Linked DNA regions of Lepisosteus oculatus. The main gene of each other region encodes a partner of the protein of the gene in region 2 in a complex. Links are inferred from orthologs where the notes say so. Each region holds a gene or a part of one and is shown on either strand. Other genes may lie near its edges.

Region 1 (8,571 bases), on a different chromosome or scaffold from region 2:
AGCGATTTCATCCTTTTGGGCGATGTTGGGGTACCCCTGCCACTCCAACACTGCTGCTTACCACCTCCTCCAGTAGTGTTGGCAGTGGGGAGGGTGATTTACTATTTCTAAATGACTTTTCTTTATAGCGCTGATTCAGTATATACAATCAGCAACAAATCAGTAGATTTAACTTTAACTGGTGCTACAAACTATTGGCAAGGTGTAGTTCACCAGTATAGGTGCTTGTATCATGGGCTGAAAAGCCTTTCTCTCAAGGACATAAACCATATGAAAGGTTTACAAGTGAGAGTATGCCATTTGGCCCATCTACCCCATAGTTACCACTGAATTATTCCTAGGATCTCCTCCAGCCAATCTTTAAAAACCAGGGACTGACTTGAACAACATAGTGAGATAGCGTGTTCCATCCTCCAACAACCCTTCGGATAAAGGCATGCCTCCTGTTCCGAGCTTTAAAAGAACTTTCATTTAAGTTACCACTTGTGCCCTTTGCTTCAAGTCTCTGAAGAAATTAACTCTGTTGCCTTTAAGAATTTTGAATCCTTTTGTCAGCTCCCCTCATAGTCTTTGTTCAAGACCAAAAAGGTTCAGTTCCTTCAGCTTGTCAGTGTAGGATATTCCCTTAAATCCTGAAATGTATCTAGTGGGTCTTCTCTGGACTGATTCTAAAGCAGCAATTTGTTTTCTATGTTGCGACGACCAAAACTGTACACAAATGCATGGTATTGCAGTGCATTTTACGATTTGATCCAATCTTAACATAACATTACTTAATTTTAATTCTGCGCTTATAACATAAAGGCAATAATAAGAATAATAGGGAGACAACTGCCTCTTCTCAGTTTCTAAGGATGTTTAGTCCCCTTGTTTCTATGAAACTTTTACTTTGTACTAAGTAAATATTGTAACGCTTACGGCCGACAGGCACTGTGTAAGAGCCGGCGTACCAGAGCGGGTGACGTCACCGCCCTTCCCTGTGATAGCAGGACCACAGCTACTGGGCTGTGAAGAGATCTCTCTTTAGCTCACGGGGCTAGGTCGCTGCAGAGAGACGCGGAAGTCCCGGGTTCGAGCCCCCGATGGTGCAGGGGCCGACCAGATGCGGCAAGGGCGCCCGCCTGAGCCCCCGTTGCGTTACAATATAATATAAAGTGCAGGGAGAGGTGCTGTTGTGTGGATGAGATGCTAAAATGAGATCCTGTCGACTTGGTTATTAAAGATTCCACGGTACTGTTTCTAAGAGCACGGGCGTTAACTTAGATGTCCAGTCTGACTTTTGTTCTGGTCTTGCCCAATCTGGAGTACCTCATTTCTGCGTTAATCCACCTGGTGAAGCAGAACTGGTGAACAGCTCAGATGGTCCAAATGGCTTCCTTTCATTTGTGAATCTCCTGCTCTTAAGAAATTTCTGTCTTCCACACCTGATCTGCAATGTATTGGAGCTGGTGATGCAAAAAAAGCTACACCTCTATCTCGGTTATGAGTAGAGGATGAAGTGGGACCCTGGTTATAAAGGAAAGTGCTCTGGGATCCTTTAAGCTGAAAAGTAATATATAAATGCAACTCATTATTGTTACCAACTGCCTGAATGAAGACAGCTTTTTAAGAATTGTTATAGGTACACAATCAATCACTGACCAATGACAAGCAAGGTTTCCAGCATAAAAACACTCTAAAATCTTACACAGAACTAGCATACTAATAATTAAAAAAACAATTCACTGAATCAATCCCAAAACAAACAGTCCCTATGGGAATAAGGGTGTTGAAAAGGTTTAGTGAAATGTCCTCAAAGTTATTTGGAAAACATACTTTAAATATAATGTATTAGTGGATATATTAAACTGTTAAACAACTGCACAAAATAAAGAGACAATACACATTTGAAAGTGTATTTTGCACAGGTGCATCTTTCTCATTATAAGTTTAAAGAAACAGCTTTACGTGACTGTGTAAGATGAATGCAAACGCCATCAAAAATAAAATCACTGCTATTTCCGTTCATGTAAAGTCTATTTCTCTTTTGCCCCTGCTGAGCCAAAAGAAACCTTTATACTGTGCAATGACACAAGGAGGGGGAAAATCCCGACCCCTTCTCCCATTCCTCTGCATTGCACAGAGGGAATCCGATTTCTTTTTAACAGCTCACCTCTTAGGGAACAAAAAACCGGTGTGGTCCTTTCTAAATTATTTAGATGACTACGAGGATCTCGCACAGTATCTCTGATTATGCCTTAACGGTCTCTTGCCAGAACACAAAAAGGATGCAGCACAATACTGAATAATCTCCCGAGTCGTACCAGGCGATTGCTGTCGGCCGACACAAATTCACAGCCAAGCTCTGCGCCTTTAAGGAAGCACTCTTGATAGGGAAATCCTAACCGTAATAATAAAATAACCAAACCCGGGTACCTGCAGTTCGGAGGAGGGTCCAGAGTGATATCTGCCAGCTCCTTCTGGATTCTGAAGGAAACAGAAACCACTCGTTAGTCTCGATCAGTCGGTACCGAAGGAATCAGTGATTTACATCGCACGCAGGCACAGCTGCTGACCTCTGCCTGCGAAACAAACATGGCCGCTCCCAGCAGCTCCTACTCACCAATATTTTAAAGATGAAATAACCCACTTCTGGACTGATTTCGCGGGTGGCCCTCACCTGGAGCCAAAATACCTTCGCCTTACAAGCAGCTACCGAAGGAATTTCGCCAATCCCCCCCTCCTAATTTTCGCAATAAACTGCTTAAGCTAATATGCAAATGAGCTGGTTCCCCATTGAAACAGAATAGCTGAGCTTGTTGTGAGATCTCTTAAAGGAGACACGCCTGAGGAAGCGTCGGTTGCATGGGAGAAAGTGTTATTTCAGCATGAGCCTGAATTTAAATAATCATATTTAAAAAAATACGAAGTAAAACCCACTCATTCTCAAAGAAGGGGTGGTTTTCTTCGGGCTGGGAAGCTATCAGGACTAAGAACTGGTGGATGAGCTTCCAAATACATCTTAATACGAAGTTGGTTCGTATGACGCTACTGCAGTCCTCCCAAGGAAAAAAAAAATGTGTTTAACCTGAAAACTAGATCGCACACAGCCAAGGGTTGCTAATATCACACTAAGCGTTAACTCTTTCTGTCCCGATACAATGGCTGTCCGACCGGTGATAACTGGCATTGCTCAGCCCTCAACCGATTCCCCCTTTACCTCTTTGCGCTCGTAGAAAGCAGTTTGGAGGTTTTGCTCATACTGGCTTTGCTCTCCTTCTTCTTGCTGGTTGTTTCTTTCTCCTTCTGATGTTGAGCGGAGGACGAGGAAGACGACGACGATGAGCTAGTACTGGCCCTCGAATCCTCATCCGACATACCGGCCGCACGGAACGGAAAAAAAAAACCCAACCTGGAAAGGCGAGCAGAGGGAATCGAGGGTTAGCTTCCGAAATAAATGCATACCAAATAAGACTGGTAGACGACACGCCTGTGGCATGTGGGTTTACCCCCAAGATCAGCCTCTTTGCACCTTCTCACGGTCGCCACTCCTAAAGACTGCGTGTGAAGTTGTGCAGCCAGGGCAAAACACCCCCCTAAACTCCGATTTTCTGAAGTCAAGGGAACTTACTTTCTGTCCGAGACTAATGTGCCAAACAACTGTCCTGAACTCCTCCGTTCCTCCCAACGCCTTGTGCTCCTCTCCCAAACAACACACTTCGCCGGAGTGGGAATGAATATTTACCTGCACCCCAGCAATTCAGAGACAGCCAGCTCACAGCTGGGAACTGGGTACAGCTCCGCACAGCTAATGAAAGATAAATAGATAGATATATATCCGTACTCTCATGTATCTGGCTACCCCAACGTCGCATCCATTCTGGAAATGTTTGACTTGCTTTTCAGTCCCCAAGACCCCATATAGTTGATCAAACTTCACACCCCGAAAAACAACTAACCAAAGCCTAAAATCTCAAACGGGTTTCATCCAACTGATCAATTTAACCTCTGGTCTTCCTTGCGGGGGTATATCAGCAGTGTCTCCTTTTTTTTTTCTCTCTCCTCTCAACATTGCAACCGATCTGTCTATTCAGCTCCACTCGTCGCTCGGATCCTTTTCTTCATTCTGCTTTTTCCGACAGGTTAATATCCTCGTTAACCTCGCAAAAACTTCTACAGGCGGCCCCCTGTCGATGCCAGAGACCTACCGGGGGCCGTTAAGGAGAGTATTTACTGGCATTAAAGAATATTTTCGTCTTTTAAACGGTACCTCTCTTTGTGTCTGTGACTCCGCTGCCTGGGCTCGTGTCTCTCCCCTCTCGCGGAGCGGAAGTGCTGCTGCAGCAGCAGCTATTAAACAGGCAATGGCTTCTATTCTATCGGACTCGCTCGCAAATGATAATGTCAAGGAAAAACACGGGGTGGGGGAGTCTGGATGTGAACCGAGATCTGAGTATTCACATGGCCACAATTGTTTATTTTTTTTTTCTAAACCCCTTCCTGTACCTAAAGCATACTCGAATACACGTATATCACCATTTCGTGTCAACATTGATATCCACAGTTAATGTACGTGTTACTTTCTTAGAATGTGTGTTTTAAAAAGGGATGGGCAAGAGAATCAGCATTTGTTAAATAATTGATACAAAGCTGCATATCACTCATAGTGTTGTGAATAATTCAAAGCCAAAGAATTTGTATTTCTTCTCATGTAAGCAACCTCAACAAATCATTCTGATGTGCTTGTTGGTCTTGGCAATTCTCCGGACAAAATTAATAGCATGCGCTGTGTAGGGAGGTTTATTTATTTTTTTTACATTTTCAAAGTTTTGTGGCAAAGCAACTCTATGAAAATTATTTTAAGGAAATCCCCCGTTTGGACACTACTACGTTAAACTGAAACGAGATATTTTATGTCATGGAAGAACTAACCAGCGGTGTAATTCTTCCTGCGTAACAGAAAAGCAGAAGACAACATATGACAGTACCACTTTACCACCTCCCTCCCCCCGGTTATTCCTTATAATATTAGTATTACTTTACAGGTTGTGGGACGTGACAGTTTTGACCTCGTCTCCACATACTTGTCTCAGATTAGTTTGCAAGACAACGCTGGGTTATTCCATCCCTTATTACAGGGGTCTCAAACTCAATTCCTGGAGGGACTCGTGTCTTCTGAGTTTTTTTTCACCCACGTTCTCGATGACATTGTTGGTGTGATTTAACTAGGTGCTGAATTCTAATATTTCTAACCAGGCTCTAAGATGATTATTGTTAACTGGACCTTAAATGAAGTGAATGTCTTGTTTATCAACTATAGAAGACCTCAATAACATTTACATAAATGTCTAATTTAGAGAACTGAGTATGAGACCCTGTTTTTAATTCTAACCTCGCTATTCATTGCTGTGATTCCAAAATAAAATACGTTTTTTTTTTACTTTTAAATGTTCTCTTCACAATACAAAAACAAATCTGTCCTGAGTTTAGAACAAGCAAGACCACTTTATTTTGCCATACACTAGTATTGCTATACTGATGTCTTGAATGACAAAACCCTCCCCAATTATGTCAGTTCCTGGAGGGTCTAGTGTCTTCTCATTTTTTTATTCTAATTTGAGCACCGATTACACAACATTTTGTTTTAATTTTACATATTTAGAGTTTAAAAAAATCTTTTACAGTTGATTACTAAAACAGTTGTTTCATTTACATTTCATGTTTTACTTACTGTTACTTAGAAAACACCTCAGAGCCAGGAGCAAAGTATAAAAATTGTGCTGTTAATGAAATAATCTGACCAATTGGTATAAATGAGAGCATGAGTAGAAAAAAAAAACATCAGGCCCTACAGGAAATGAGTCTGAAACCTCTTCACCAAAACATTCAGTCATAAGACCTAGACAAGGGGTGTGGAATTTTATTCCATGGCTGCTCTTAATCATACGTTTTACTGCACCAAATTTAACAATTTTCAAAGATCTTCAACTGTTGATGATGTTGATTTCTAAAGAATGAGAAACCCTGCTGCACCCTGCCCCTTGAGTCCTTGATTTGTCTGCCTATAACCCAGACATTAAGGTGACCAGGCCTTCCAGGTCTTGTTCATTCAAATAGTGTTAAAAAAAGGGCGCTTCTACGACTAGACAAAACACAGTACCCACCTACGCTTCTGGATAGCCTTCTTGACAGAGGGTCATTAAGAAGGAAGCAGAACAGTTTGCAGATCAAACCGTTTTTTAAAAGTTATAGAACTGTCAGTTGTTTTTCTATTCCTATTACTGTATACTAATGTTTGAGGATCCACAGTCCTGCAGAAGTGTTCTAAATACATTAATTATCGGTAAGATGCTTATTCACGGTAATAGTTGTAGCACACCTGAGCCTGTCTGAGAAGCACAGGAACGCAAGACAAGGCTATACTATGGATTTTTAAAGCCTGGCAACACCTTAACAGAAAAAAAATGAGAGAACCAAAAAAAAAAACCCAGGATTTTCTTTTTACCAAACAGGCTATATGCGTCACAATCTGTAATTGGGATTACTAAACTAGTCAAACTCAACAAACTTCTGTATTTTTACAAATATCACGGTGTGCTGAGTAATTGTGGGTGGATCGTTGCCTTATCAGGGCCTGTCTTGTGGAGACGTTCATGTTACATAATACATCTGGTGAGGGAATACAGGAAGAGGGGGGTCGTATCATCCCAGTCTGTCCTGGGCAGGAGTGGGCACCCAGATGGAACAGTAGATTGGGTAATGGACTGGAGCTCTGTAGGAGCAGTGAAAGACGGAGAGTCAACATGTTGACAAATTTCAGCTGTGAGCAAGATGGGCATTCATATCATGGTTTTTAAAATGAAATTCTAAAATGTAAAGATATCACAGAAACAAATAAAACATACTGTACTTTGTAGCTCCCGGAAATAGATTAAAAAAAACCTTTACTGGTTTTAAACACTGTAAGAGGAAGTTGGTTTGAAGTTAAGAAACTGTATTTGTATACTCTTTGCAAATATCTAATTGAAGGGACAGAAATGTGTAAACACATCTAGACAGAAATTAATATGAAGAAACTATTGTAAAATGCTTCAAGATCCCTTGGGATGAAAAGCAGTATATAAATAGAAACAACAATTATTCATTAATCTTGTCTGGTAGAACTCAGTAAAAATCAGGGTTCCTCCAGTCTACAAATTCCCCAGAATCTTTCAGCATCAGTTGAATCTGAGAAATCATATACTGTACTTGAGAGAGTTTCTGTTTTTTCTTCTGTCAAACTATTAAATGGCCAACAGCCATATCACCCTGCAACTCACAACTGGCCACTGAAGCTAAGCAGGTGTGAGCCTGGTCAGTACCTGGCTGGGAGACCTCCTGGGAAAAACTAAGGTTGCTGCTGGAAGAGGTGTCAGTGGGGCCAGCAGGGGGTGCTCGCCCTATGGTCCATGTGGGTCCTAATGCCCCAGTATAGTGACGGGGACACTATACTGTAAACAGGCGCCGTCCTCCGGATGAGACTTAAAACCGAGGTCCTGACTCTCTGTGGTCATTAAAACTCCCGGGGTGTTTCTCGAAAAGAGTAGGGGTGTAACCCCGGCGTCCTGGCCAAATTTCCCATCGGCCTTTATCAATCATGGCCTCCTAATAATCCCCCTCTATGAATTGGCTTCATTACTTTGTTCTCGAACCCCCCCTTTCCATTCCGACGGCAGGTGGAGCGACGCGCCGGTTGGAATATTTCTTGGTCGCAGTTAATGGCAACGTCTGCTCAAAGATTTGGTTCAAACCACCAAACGGAGACTGCTGTGCCAACAAGCGGACCCTTCTGATGCGGGATTAACACTAGGAAAGAGAGAAACTATTAAAGCACTGGACTGGCAAATCCAGGTTGTAGGTCATTGTTGGATACTGTACCAAAGAGTTTTTTTCTTCCCTAAAGGAGTCCAGCCTATCTGGAAAAAGAGCTAAGAGCTGAGCTTTCAGTTGTTAAAGCATGCATACTTCAGCTATGACATTTTACACAGTGCACGAGAAATAAAAGTAGGAATTAATCCTTGAAACCCTTTGAGTGTTCAAAACCTATTCACGGGAATATCTATTGAAGCAGAGTGCCTTCAAATAGGTCACAACAACACTGTCAAAACTGTTATTTTTGTTTTTCAGTCGTGTGTTTTGGAGCTGTGATCAAGAGATTAATTTGAATGATAAGTACAATATATTGTAAGTTTTATTTTGAAGTAGGCCTCATTCCAAGCATACATTCGAACATATTAAAACAAAACAATACCTTGGTTTACTGCAGTGATTTTAACTGAAGGTGCTGCAACACATTCACAAGTCATACAAATACAAGTCAGTATTTTGTTGCATATTTCTTTGAGACAATAACAGCCTTCTGAGGTCAACAAACCCTATGTGTAATTATTTTGAGATCATTTGCTCCTCTTAATTGGAGTTATCTTTTCTTGGGGTGTTTTGACTTTTTTATTTAGCATGTAATCTAGACTGCTGCTTGTATCTGCCAAACCCTGACAAAATAAAAAACAAAACAAAATGTAATGCTATTTTTGCAATGCAATGTAAATCTGA
Region 2 (8,564 bases):
AGCCCCGCCAGAGACCACCACACCCGACTCGGAGCCCCGCCAGAGACCACCACACCCGACTCAGAGCCCCGCCAGACACCACCACACCCGACTCGGAGCCCCGACAGACACCACCACACCCGACTCAGAGCCCCGCCAGAGACCACCACACCCGACTCAGAGCCCCGCCAGACACCACCACACCCGACTCAGAGCCCCGCCAGAGACCACCACACCCGACTCAGAGCCCCGCCAGACACCACCACACCCGACTCAGAGCCCCGCCAGACACCACCACACCCTCAGAGCCCCGCCAGAGACCACCACACCCGACTCAGAGCCCCGCCAGACACCACCACACCCGACTCAGAGCCCCGACAGACACCACCACACCCGACTCAGAGCCCCGCCAGACACCACCACACCCGACTCAGAGCCCCGCCAGACACCACCACACCCGACTCAGAGCCCCGCCAGACACCACCACACCCGACTCAGAGCCCCGACAGACACCACCACACCCGTCTCTGTCTCGCGTCTCAGAGCCCCGCCAGACACCACCACACCCGACTCAGAGCCCCGCCAGAGACCACCACACCCGACTCGGAGCCCCGCCAGACACCACCACACCCGACTCCGTCTCCCGACTCAGAGCCCCGCCAGACACCACCACACCCGTCTCTGTCTCCAGTCTCTGAGCCCTGGCAGACATCAGGCACCACCCCACCTGTCTCACAATGCTGACAGACACTATCAAACCTGTCTCCAGTCTCAAAGCCCTCAGCCCCGCCCCGAGGCCAGACAGACACTGACCCCTGCTGGATGAACGCAGTAGTGTCGAGGGCAGCGCAGGCGCAGTCTTCTTGGACATGGTCTCGGCCAGCTTCTGCACATCCTGAGACGATTTCTTCAAGGCTGCCGCTGCGTCATCAAACTAGAGAGACAGAGAGATTTATCTGGGGAAGAATCACACCACACAGCCTGATACTGTACAGCACACACACACAGCATCAAAGCACACAGCCCAATACTGTACAAAACACACACACAGCCTGAAACTATACAGGACACACACACAGCCTCAGAGCACATAGCCTCAGAGCACACAGCCTCAGAGCACACAGCCTCAGAGCACACAGCCTCAGAGCACACAGCCTCAGAGCACACAGCCTCAGAGCACACAGCCTCAGAGCACACAGCCTCAGAGCACACAGCACGATATTGCACAGCGCACACACACAGCCCAAAACTATACAGCACACAGAAAGCCTCGCTCTGTTTAGACAGCACAGAGAAGAGAACAGGAGACTATGGACACAGCAGGAGGAGAAAGAGTGACCAGACACTCACTGTGGAATCCTTGACGGGGGTGGTCACTTTCTTGGCTGGAGAGGTGACATTCGGGTGGGCCGGAGTGACTGTGATGGAGGGACAGGAAAGGAGATCAATATGGAATTTATACAGCTCAAGCAGGTACCTGTGTCAGTGTGCGTCGGCTGCAAAGGAACAAGTAAAGGTTTATTCCTGCTGAAAAGAGAATCAAGGAAAAACAACGTTTTGGCTGTGGAGCCTTCTTCACACCCGAAACACAAACGTTTCTTTTCTTTTCTTTTCAGCATGGAATAAACCTTTACTTGTTTCTTTGAATTTATATAGTGCCCTGCACACAGAAACAACAGGCGTGGGATGATTCTTCACGCTAAATATTCCTGAGCCTTGAAGAGGCAGACACCGGACAGGCGCCTGACCTCTGGTTTAATACAGCTGGACACCAGACTGGTGCCTGACCTCTGGTTTAATACAGCTGGACACCAGCAGGCGCCTGTCCAGGCAACTCAGATTGTGCAGCTCATGGGAGGCTGTGCTCTGGGATCCTCTGGTGTGAAAGGTGCTATATAAGAGGGAAGGAATTCGTATTCAACACGTACTGCATCCCACAGCCACAACATCATCGTCGTCGTCATCATCATCGATCTCGATGACCTCAGAGGGCCTGAGGGCCAGACGATCCCCCTGATCATCGTCCGAGCTGCTGTCGCGGTACGTCAGACCCATGCTGGAGTAGAGGTCTCGAACCAGGCCCTCACATTCCTGCATCGACCTGGGGGGACACCACAGGACTGGTCACTCACTGACCACATTGACCACTGGACACACCTCAAGGCCAGTCATTGGCCACACTGTCCTCAGAACAAGCAGAGAGACCTGTCACTCACTGTCCTCAGAACAGGACACCCCCTGACCGCGCTGCCCCGGGGACAGGACACCCCCTGACAGCGCTGTCCCGGGGACAGGTCACTCACTGGAAGGCGGTGTCGAAGAGCCGGTCCACGCGCGACACCTCCGCCTCCCTCTGCTGCACCTGGCGCTCCAGCTGCTCCAGCTCGGCCGTCTTCCTGGCCACAGCCTCGCTCCTGAGGATCTCCTCCCGGACCCACTGCCGCAGCTCGTCCAGGGACACACCCAGCTCCTCCTGCAGCTCCTGCTCCATCTCCACCTCGTCCATCTGCAGCAGCGGACACACAGCACCGAGACACACTGCACTGAGAGAGAGGGGTTCATACAGACACACTGACAGACTGGACACTCCAGTACATTAACACTGCACTGAGAGAGAGGGGTTCATACAGACACACTGACTGGACACTCCAGTACATTAACGCTGCACTGAGAGAGAGGGGTTAATACAGACACACTGACTGGACACTCCAGTACATTAACACTGCACTGAGAGAGAGGGGTTCATACAGACACACTGACTGGACACTCCAGTACATTAACACTGCACTGAGAGAGAGGTACACTGCTGTGAGTGTAACATTGTAAGAAAACTACAGTCCCCTTTACCCCAAAGGAATCCAAAAGACACTGGTGTTGACACCCCACTCTGACAGTGTCCTGGGATCTGTAGTGACCAGTAGTCAGGACACCAGGGTCAACACCCCACTCTTACTGACAGTGTCCTGGGGTCTGTAGTGACCAGCAGGACTTCTGTTTAACATTAATACCGAAGGAGTACACCTCCTACTGCTGAGTATCTGACCTAGAGATGAGTACACATGTTACGTGATGTGGCGACCTTGTGGCTGCAGGACAGAGGTCCTACAGTGTTCTTGGGCTTCGGACACCGGACTATAGCAGAAACCTACACAGCGAACGTTTTCAGGTGTTCAATGATGTTACGCGTAGAGCAGAACTAATTTTACACAAAAGGTTGTTGAAGTTCGTTGAGATCACTACTAACCTCACGCACGTTTTCAATTTTCCACACTTTTAGAATTAGCAGCAGCTTCGGCTGCGAGACGAGACGAAACGAGGGGTACTGATTTAGATCCAAAACCTTTGCGGAAGGAAGACTTCAAAATATAAATGTATTTTAAAAACAACTCGTCATCTGCATTGAGCACCTCCATTGAAGGCGATGAAGGCGGTGTTACTGCGGCAAATGAACGTCATGGGAAATGTAGTTTTTTATCTCCCGCAATTCTTTAAATACGAAGGAGAGTTACGACGAAGAAAACATCAACTCCCAGCATACCATGCGCTGCGCTCGCAGGGCGCGCGGGTCTGACGTAAGGTGAGGGCGAATTTAAAACACCTCATCGCGTTCTTTTAATTTCTCACAAAAAAAACTATATAGTTACATATTTGTGATTATATGCAGTAAATATGAGAGTAAGGGGTTATCTTTACGAAATAAACGTTGTTACCGAAAGCCATAATTTGGACAAATTTAGCTGTAAGCATTCGCTCTTTATCGCAGATGTCCCCTCTCTACAAAACGACGTCTGCCCACCTGAGAAATTAACGACAAACGACTCCGGTTTTAACCAGAATTACCTCTCCTTCCAAGGCGTTTCGCCGGTAGAGGGTCACTGTAGATATTACTCTTTCGCTATTTCATAAAGAAATTTTTGAGCCAGATTCCAGTCTCCGAGCTTGTCTCCCTTTCTCCCCCTTCCCAGAGAGAGTCCATGAGGGAACACGCCCACTGCAGTCGTCGCCACGCCCCCAGACCTAATGAGCGCCAATCAGCAATGCTGATCGACGTGAGTGATAGGGGAGGCAACCAATAGGCTCCACAGTAGCGTGAGGTAAGAGGAAAGGCCCCTCCGACGATGGCAGGTTTGTCCAATAAAGAGCGCTAAACCGTGATAGGCGTCGGTTTGAACCAATCAGTGCAGCCAGAGGTTCTGGCGGGAGCTGACCTGTCAAGGGTTTGTATGCCTAGAGTTTACAACACGTGGTCGAAGCTCTTCTGTAATTGCTGAACGCATTATTCTTGAGCAGGGCAATGTGTAAGCAGCGTGGCTGTCAATGCCTGGCACAGATACCTATAAATGTACAAGAATCCACTCTGTCTCAGTGGGTCAGTGCACTCCTCCTGGTCAGAGCTGGGAATTCTGAGACAGGACACAAAACACAGTCGTTCTTCCAGATCCTTTTATTTCAGCAACTCCTGGTCTGGATAAAACTGCACACTGCTCCCCATGGTCCAGCCCTGCCCCGTCGCCCAGTCTACCGCCAGTCTCCCAGTCTACCCCCTGTCTCCCAGTCTACCGCCTGTCTCCAGCTCTGCCCCCTGTCTCCCACTGTGCCCCCAGTCTCCCAGTCTACCCCCAGTCTCCCACTCTGCGCCCAGTCTCCCAGTCTACCCCCAGTCTACCAGTTTGTCCACTGTCTCCCACTCCGCCCCCTGTCTCCCAGTCTACCGCCTGTCTCCCACTCTGCCCCCAGTCTCCCAGTTTGTCCACTGTCTCCCACTCTGCCCCCTGTCTCCCAGTTTGTCCACTGTCTCCCACTCTGCCCCCTGTCTCCCAGTCTACCGCCTGTCTCCCACTCTGCCCCCAGTCTCCCAGTCTACCCCCTGTCTCCCAGTCTACCCCCAGTCTCCCAGTCTACCCCCAGTCTCCCACTCTGCCCCCAGTCTCCCAGTCTACCGCCTGTCTCCCAGTTTGTCCACTGTCTCCCACTCTGCCCCCAGTCTCCCAGTCTCCCACTCTGCCCCCAGTCTCCCAGCCGCTGGGGGTGCTGCTCTCAGCCTCAGTTGCTGATCTGCTCCTCCTGCCAGGTGGAGGTGGGGATGGCACTGTAGGGGTCGACCACCATCTGGGCGCAGCGCACCACCGTCACCAGCAGGAAGAAGCACAGCAGGAAGAGGAAGGCCAGAGCGAAGCCCTTGTCAACGTCCACCGGGAGCTGGGGAGGGGCATCCGTGTCCATCTGGACCAGCTGTCCTCCTGGTGTTACAGCCCTGTTTCTTAACCACTGGACCAGCTGTCTTCCCGGTGTACCAGCCCTGTGTCTTCACCTCTGGACCAGCTGTCCTCCTGGTGTAACAGCCCTGTGTCTTATCCACTGGACCGGCTGTCCTCCTGGTGTAACAGCCCTGTGTCTTATCCACTGGACCGGCTGTCCTCCCGGTGTAACAAGACCTTAACACCTGGACCTGTCAGGTCTCCTCACTTGAGCAAAGTCTCGTCGAACTGGATGAACTCCATGTTATTACTGTAAACATATTAAACAATCAGAAAAGCCCAGGAATCAAACAGCAGAGTGACCCGCGGGTCTCTCGGTCCGCCCCAGGCAGTGTGCGTGACAGGCAGTGCGAGAGTCGCTCTCTGACGCCAGTCCGGTCCTCCAGCGGGGTGGTGGCTCAGCAGTGGCCCAGTGGGATCCAGTTCGGTTTGGGTCCCAGCTACAGGCTCAGGACCGGGGTTCTGCAGAGCCCTGTCGAGACTGAGAGACGCAGGGGGGTGAGTCCCATTGTGCAGGAACGGGAGGGGGCTCATTATGGAACGCAGGTACGGGTGACCCCCTGACCCCTGACCCCTGACCCTGGCGCTAACACCTGTACAGGGCAGCTAGCTAGTGAAAGCAGCATAAACGTGCCCTGAACCCAACACTGTCACACGCTGGGGAAAAACGAAACAATCCTTAATCGGAAATTCAAGGAATTTTAACAGCGTATGCAGTGACTTCTTGCCTCTCCGAGGCCAGATCCCAGAACTCCAGTAGGGAACATGGCGGATCAGCCGGTGTGTGTGTGGGAAACGGCGGCCTCACACTTACCCATGCCCTGGTTAGTGTGTGTGGTCACACAGCGGCGGTATCGCCTCGCCGCTCGCTCCTGCCTTCGGGATTCGGGAGGGTCTGCAGGGATGCACTGCTGCCGGAGCGATCCAGCTCGTTCTGGACCTCTGCGCTCGGCTGCGGGAGTTTTCCTCGTGTGCGCCACTGTCCCCCCCGGCTCATGAATACTTCAGCACGCTCCTGGTGTTGTCTTTCGGCCCGGCCCGCTGCCGAGGGGAACCCGATCCCGGCGCGGTGCCGCCGCGGCCCGCTCCACAGAGGGCACCTGCTCCGAGCCGTGTAACCCGGCACACGGCAACCCGTCACGCTTCATGGGAGTACTGGGAGACAGGGGCCATCCCCGTGGAGACAGCGTGAAGCCAGCCAGCTCCTCTTTCACAGACTCTGGACCAGCAGCAGACACTGCTAGTGTACTCTTTACTGCGTTTACCCTCATCTCACTGGGCTGGACTGCACTGGACTGTGCTTTTACCCTGATCTCACTGAGCTTTACTGTACTGTACTGCACTTTTACCCTGATCTCACTGTGCTTTTACCCTGATCTCACTGGGCTGTACTGCACTGTACTGTGCTTTTACCCTGATCCCACTGGGCTATCCTGCACTGCACTATGCTTTTACCCTGATCTCACTGGGCTTTACTGCACTGTACTGCGCTTTTACCCTGATCTCACTGGGCTGTACTGCACTGGACTGGGCTTTTACCCTGATCTCACTGGGCTTCACTGCACTGTGCTTTTACCCTGATCTCATTGTGCTGTACTGCACTGTACTGTACTATGCTTTTACCCTGATCTCACTGGGCTGCCCTGTACTGTGCTTTTACCCCGATCTCACTGGGCTTCACTGCACTGTACTGTGCTTTTACCCCGATCTCACTGGGCTTTACAAAGGACAAGATTTCTGTGACAAGTTATTCAGTGCAGGGATGAGTCAGCAAACAGCTGCCCCACGGCCCCTTTGCAAAGCTAACGAACAGGAATGATAAGCAAATGTTTTCATAATACTGTAGGATTTAATGAGCTGCGTTACTGAAGCGGATACCCTGGTTTCAAATTCAACTTCTGAAAGAGCTTTATTGGCATGAGAAGAATGACGTGTTACCAAAGCAGACACAATCAACACAATATTTGCATACACCACATAAAACATTATTGTGAGAGAGGGTTGGGGTTTTCTTTAACGCTTCTAGGATCAATTGACGGAAAAGTAGCTCCTCTCCTTCACCTTTTGTTCCTGTTCTCGTGTTTGTGTTTATGTTAAACACTGAGATTGCAGGTCTGTACTCGACATAATTAATCAGAAACTCGCCTCTCCACAAAATCACTCTCTCCCTGCAGGGACCGCGGAGGATGACAAATACCAGATGTCGAAATATCTTTCACAACAAGCGCATTTCCTGTGGAAAAATACAAAAGATCTCGATTAAAAACACTCAAACCGCCCCAGACTGTCCCTTTAAACAATTCTGTGTGGCGTCACCGATTTCGGCCCGCCCCCTCAGATCATTCTAGCCTGGTGTGAAAGGCGGGATCTCTCTGTTGCCTTTGCTAGATTCCGAATCTCTATTGGCCAAAAGAAAGGTACGTCCAATCTTTGTCATCACTGATTGGACAGAGGCACCGCCCATCATTTTAACACGTTTTTAATCCGTTTTGTAATCAAAGAGTTCGGTTGACGCGCGGGCCTCCGCTCCAGACTGCCATCTTGTTTCAAGGGAGGGTTTTCGCTGTGTGTTTTTTTTAAAAAACAAAAACATAAGAGGAAAAAAAGTATCTTTCGAAAAATAAGAAAAAAACCGACAACCCGTGTCTCACGCTGTCCCACACCGTGCGGAGGCGCCGAGGGCTGGATGTTTTCTAACGTTCATGGCCTCGACTTCGGCATCAGGTACGAAGCCCGTCGATTGCGTGCGGCCCCTGGGCGAGTGTGTGTCCCGGGGGTGTCAGAACAGGCCTGCCAGCCCTGAGCCCTCACGGGGCAGAGCCGGGGGCTCTGGGGGTCACCGGGCGGGGTTTTTTTTTGGGGAGGGGGGTCTTTCCGCTGGAGCCCGGCTGTCCGCCACAGCCTGGACAGCCCGGTCACTCCCGAGCCCACAGGGACGTCTGGCGAACCGGAGGGAGGAAACCTCTCTCTCCTGTCGCTGTCCGACTGACTGGCTGTCGCGGGAGGGTTTCGCCGAGGCGATGTCTGAAGCCGGCTGGGTGCTGGCACTGGGTGGGTGCGTGGGGAGGGGGCTCTCTGTGACTCGCGTCGCGCTGGTCCGTTCACTGGCCAGGACAGCAGCTGAAGCTAAAAGGAAAAGCGCTTCAAAGTGTCAGAGAAGTAGCCTTGATGATGATTCCCGACTGACAGCACTGTAAAACCTGGAGTGGATCAGACTGCTGCGCACTGGGAGTCTAACTGACAGCACTGTAAAACCTGGAGTGGATCAGACTGCTGTGCACTGGGAGTCTGACTGACAGCACTATAAACCCTGGAGTGGATCAGACT

What was found.
Region 1: the proteins of setdb1a (region 2) and ube2e1 are in contact, whole or in part, in a crystal structure (PDB 8IYA), measured with the Homo sapiens proteins. The link is inferred for Lepisosteus oculatus from reciprocal best matches to the Homo sapiens genes SETDB1 and UBE2E1. Residues at the interface, in NP_001138887.1 of Homo sapiens: Glu868, Gly869, Tyr870, Glu871, Ser872; in NP_003332.1 of Homo sapiens: Asn125, Ser126, Gln127, Val129, Cys131, Leu132, Lys136, Asp163, Pro164, Leu165, Val166, Gly167, Ser168.

Annotation. Positions count from the first base shown.
Region 1 is NC_090705.1:30,783,381-30,791,951, reverse strand, and holds the start of ube2e1 (ubiquitin-conjugating enzyme E2 E1), read right to left. Parts: upstream 4,356-8,571; 5' UTR 4,250-4,355; intron 3,711-4,249; exon of another isoform or gene 3,611-3,710; intron 3,392-3,610; 5' UTR 3,358-3,391; coding exon 3,200-3,357; intron 2,467-3,199; coding exon 2,416-2,466; intron 1-2,415. UniProt on the Homo sapiens protein: Accepts ubiquitin from the E1 complex and catalyzes its covalent attachment to other proteins. Catalyzes the covalent attachment of ISG15 to other proteins. Mediates the selective degradation of short-lived and abnormal proteins.
Region 2 is NC_090722.1:6,979,615-6,988,178, reverse strand, and holds the start of setdb1a (histone-lysine N-methyltransferase SETDB1-A), read right to left. Parts: upstream 3,985-8,564; 5' UTR 3,820-3,984; intron 3,787-3,819; exon of another isoform or gene 3,224-3,786; intron 2,523-3,223; exon of another isoform or gene 2,518-2,522; 5' UTR 2,486-2,517; coding exon 2,283-2,485; intron 2,081-2,282; coding exon 1,908-2,080; intron 1,398-1,907; coding exon 1,330-1,397; intron 914-1,329; coding exon 793-913; intron 1-792. Other genes in the region: aryl hydrocarbon receptor nuclear translocator-like, read left to right, coding at 7,940-7,961. UniProt on the Homo sapiens protein: Histone methyltransferase that specifically trimethylates 'Lys-9' of histone H3. H3 'Lys-9' trimethylation represents a specific tag for epigenetic transcriptional repression by recruiting HP1 (CBX1, CBX3 and/or CBX5) proteins to methylated histones.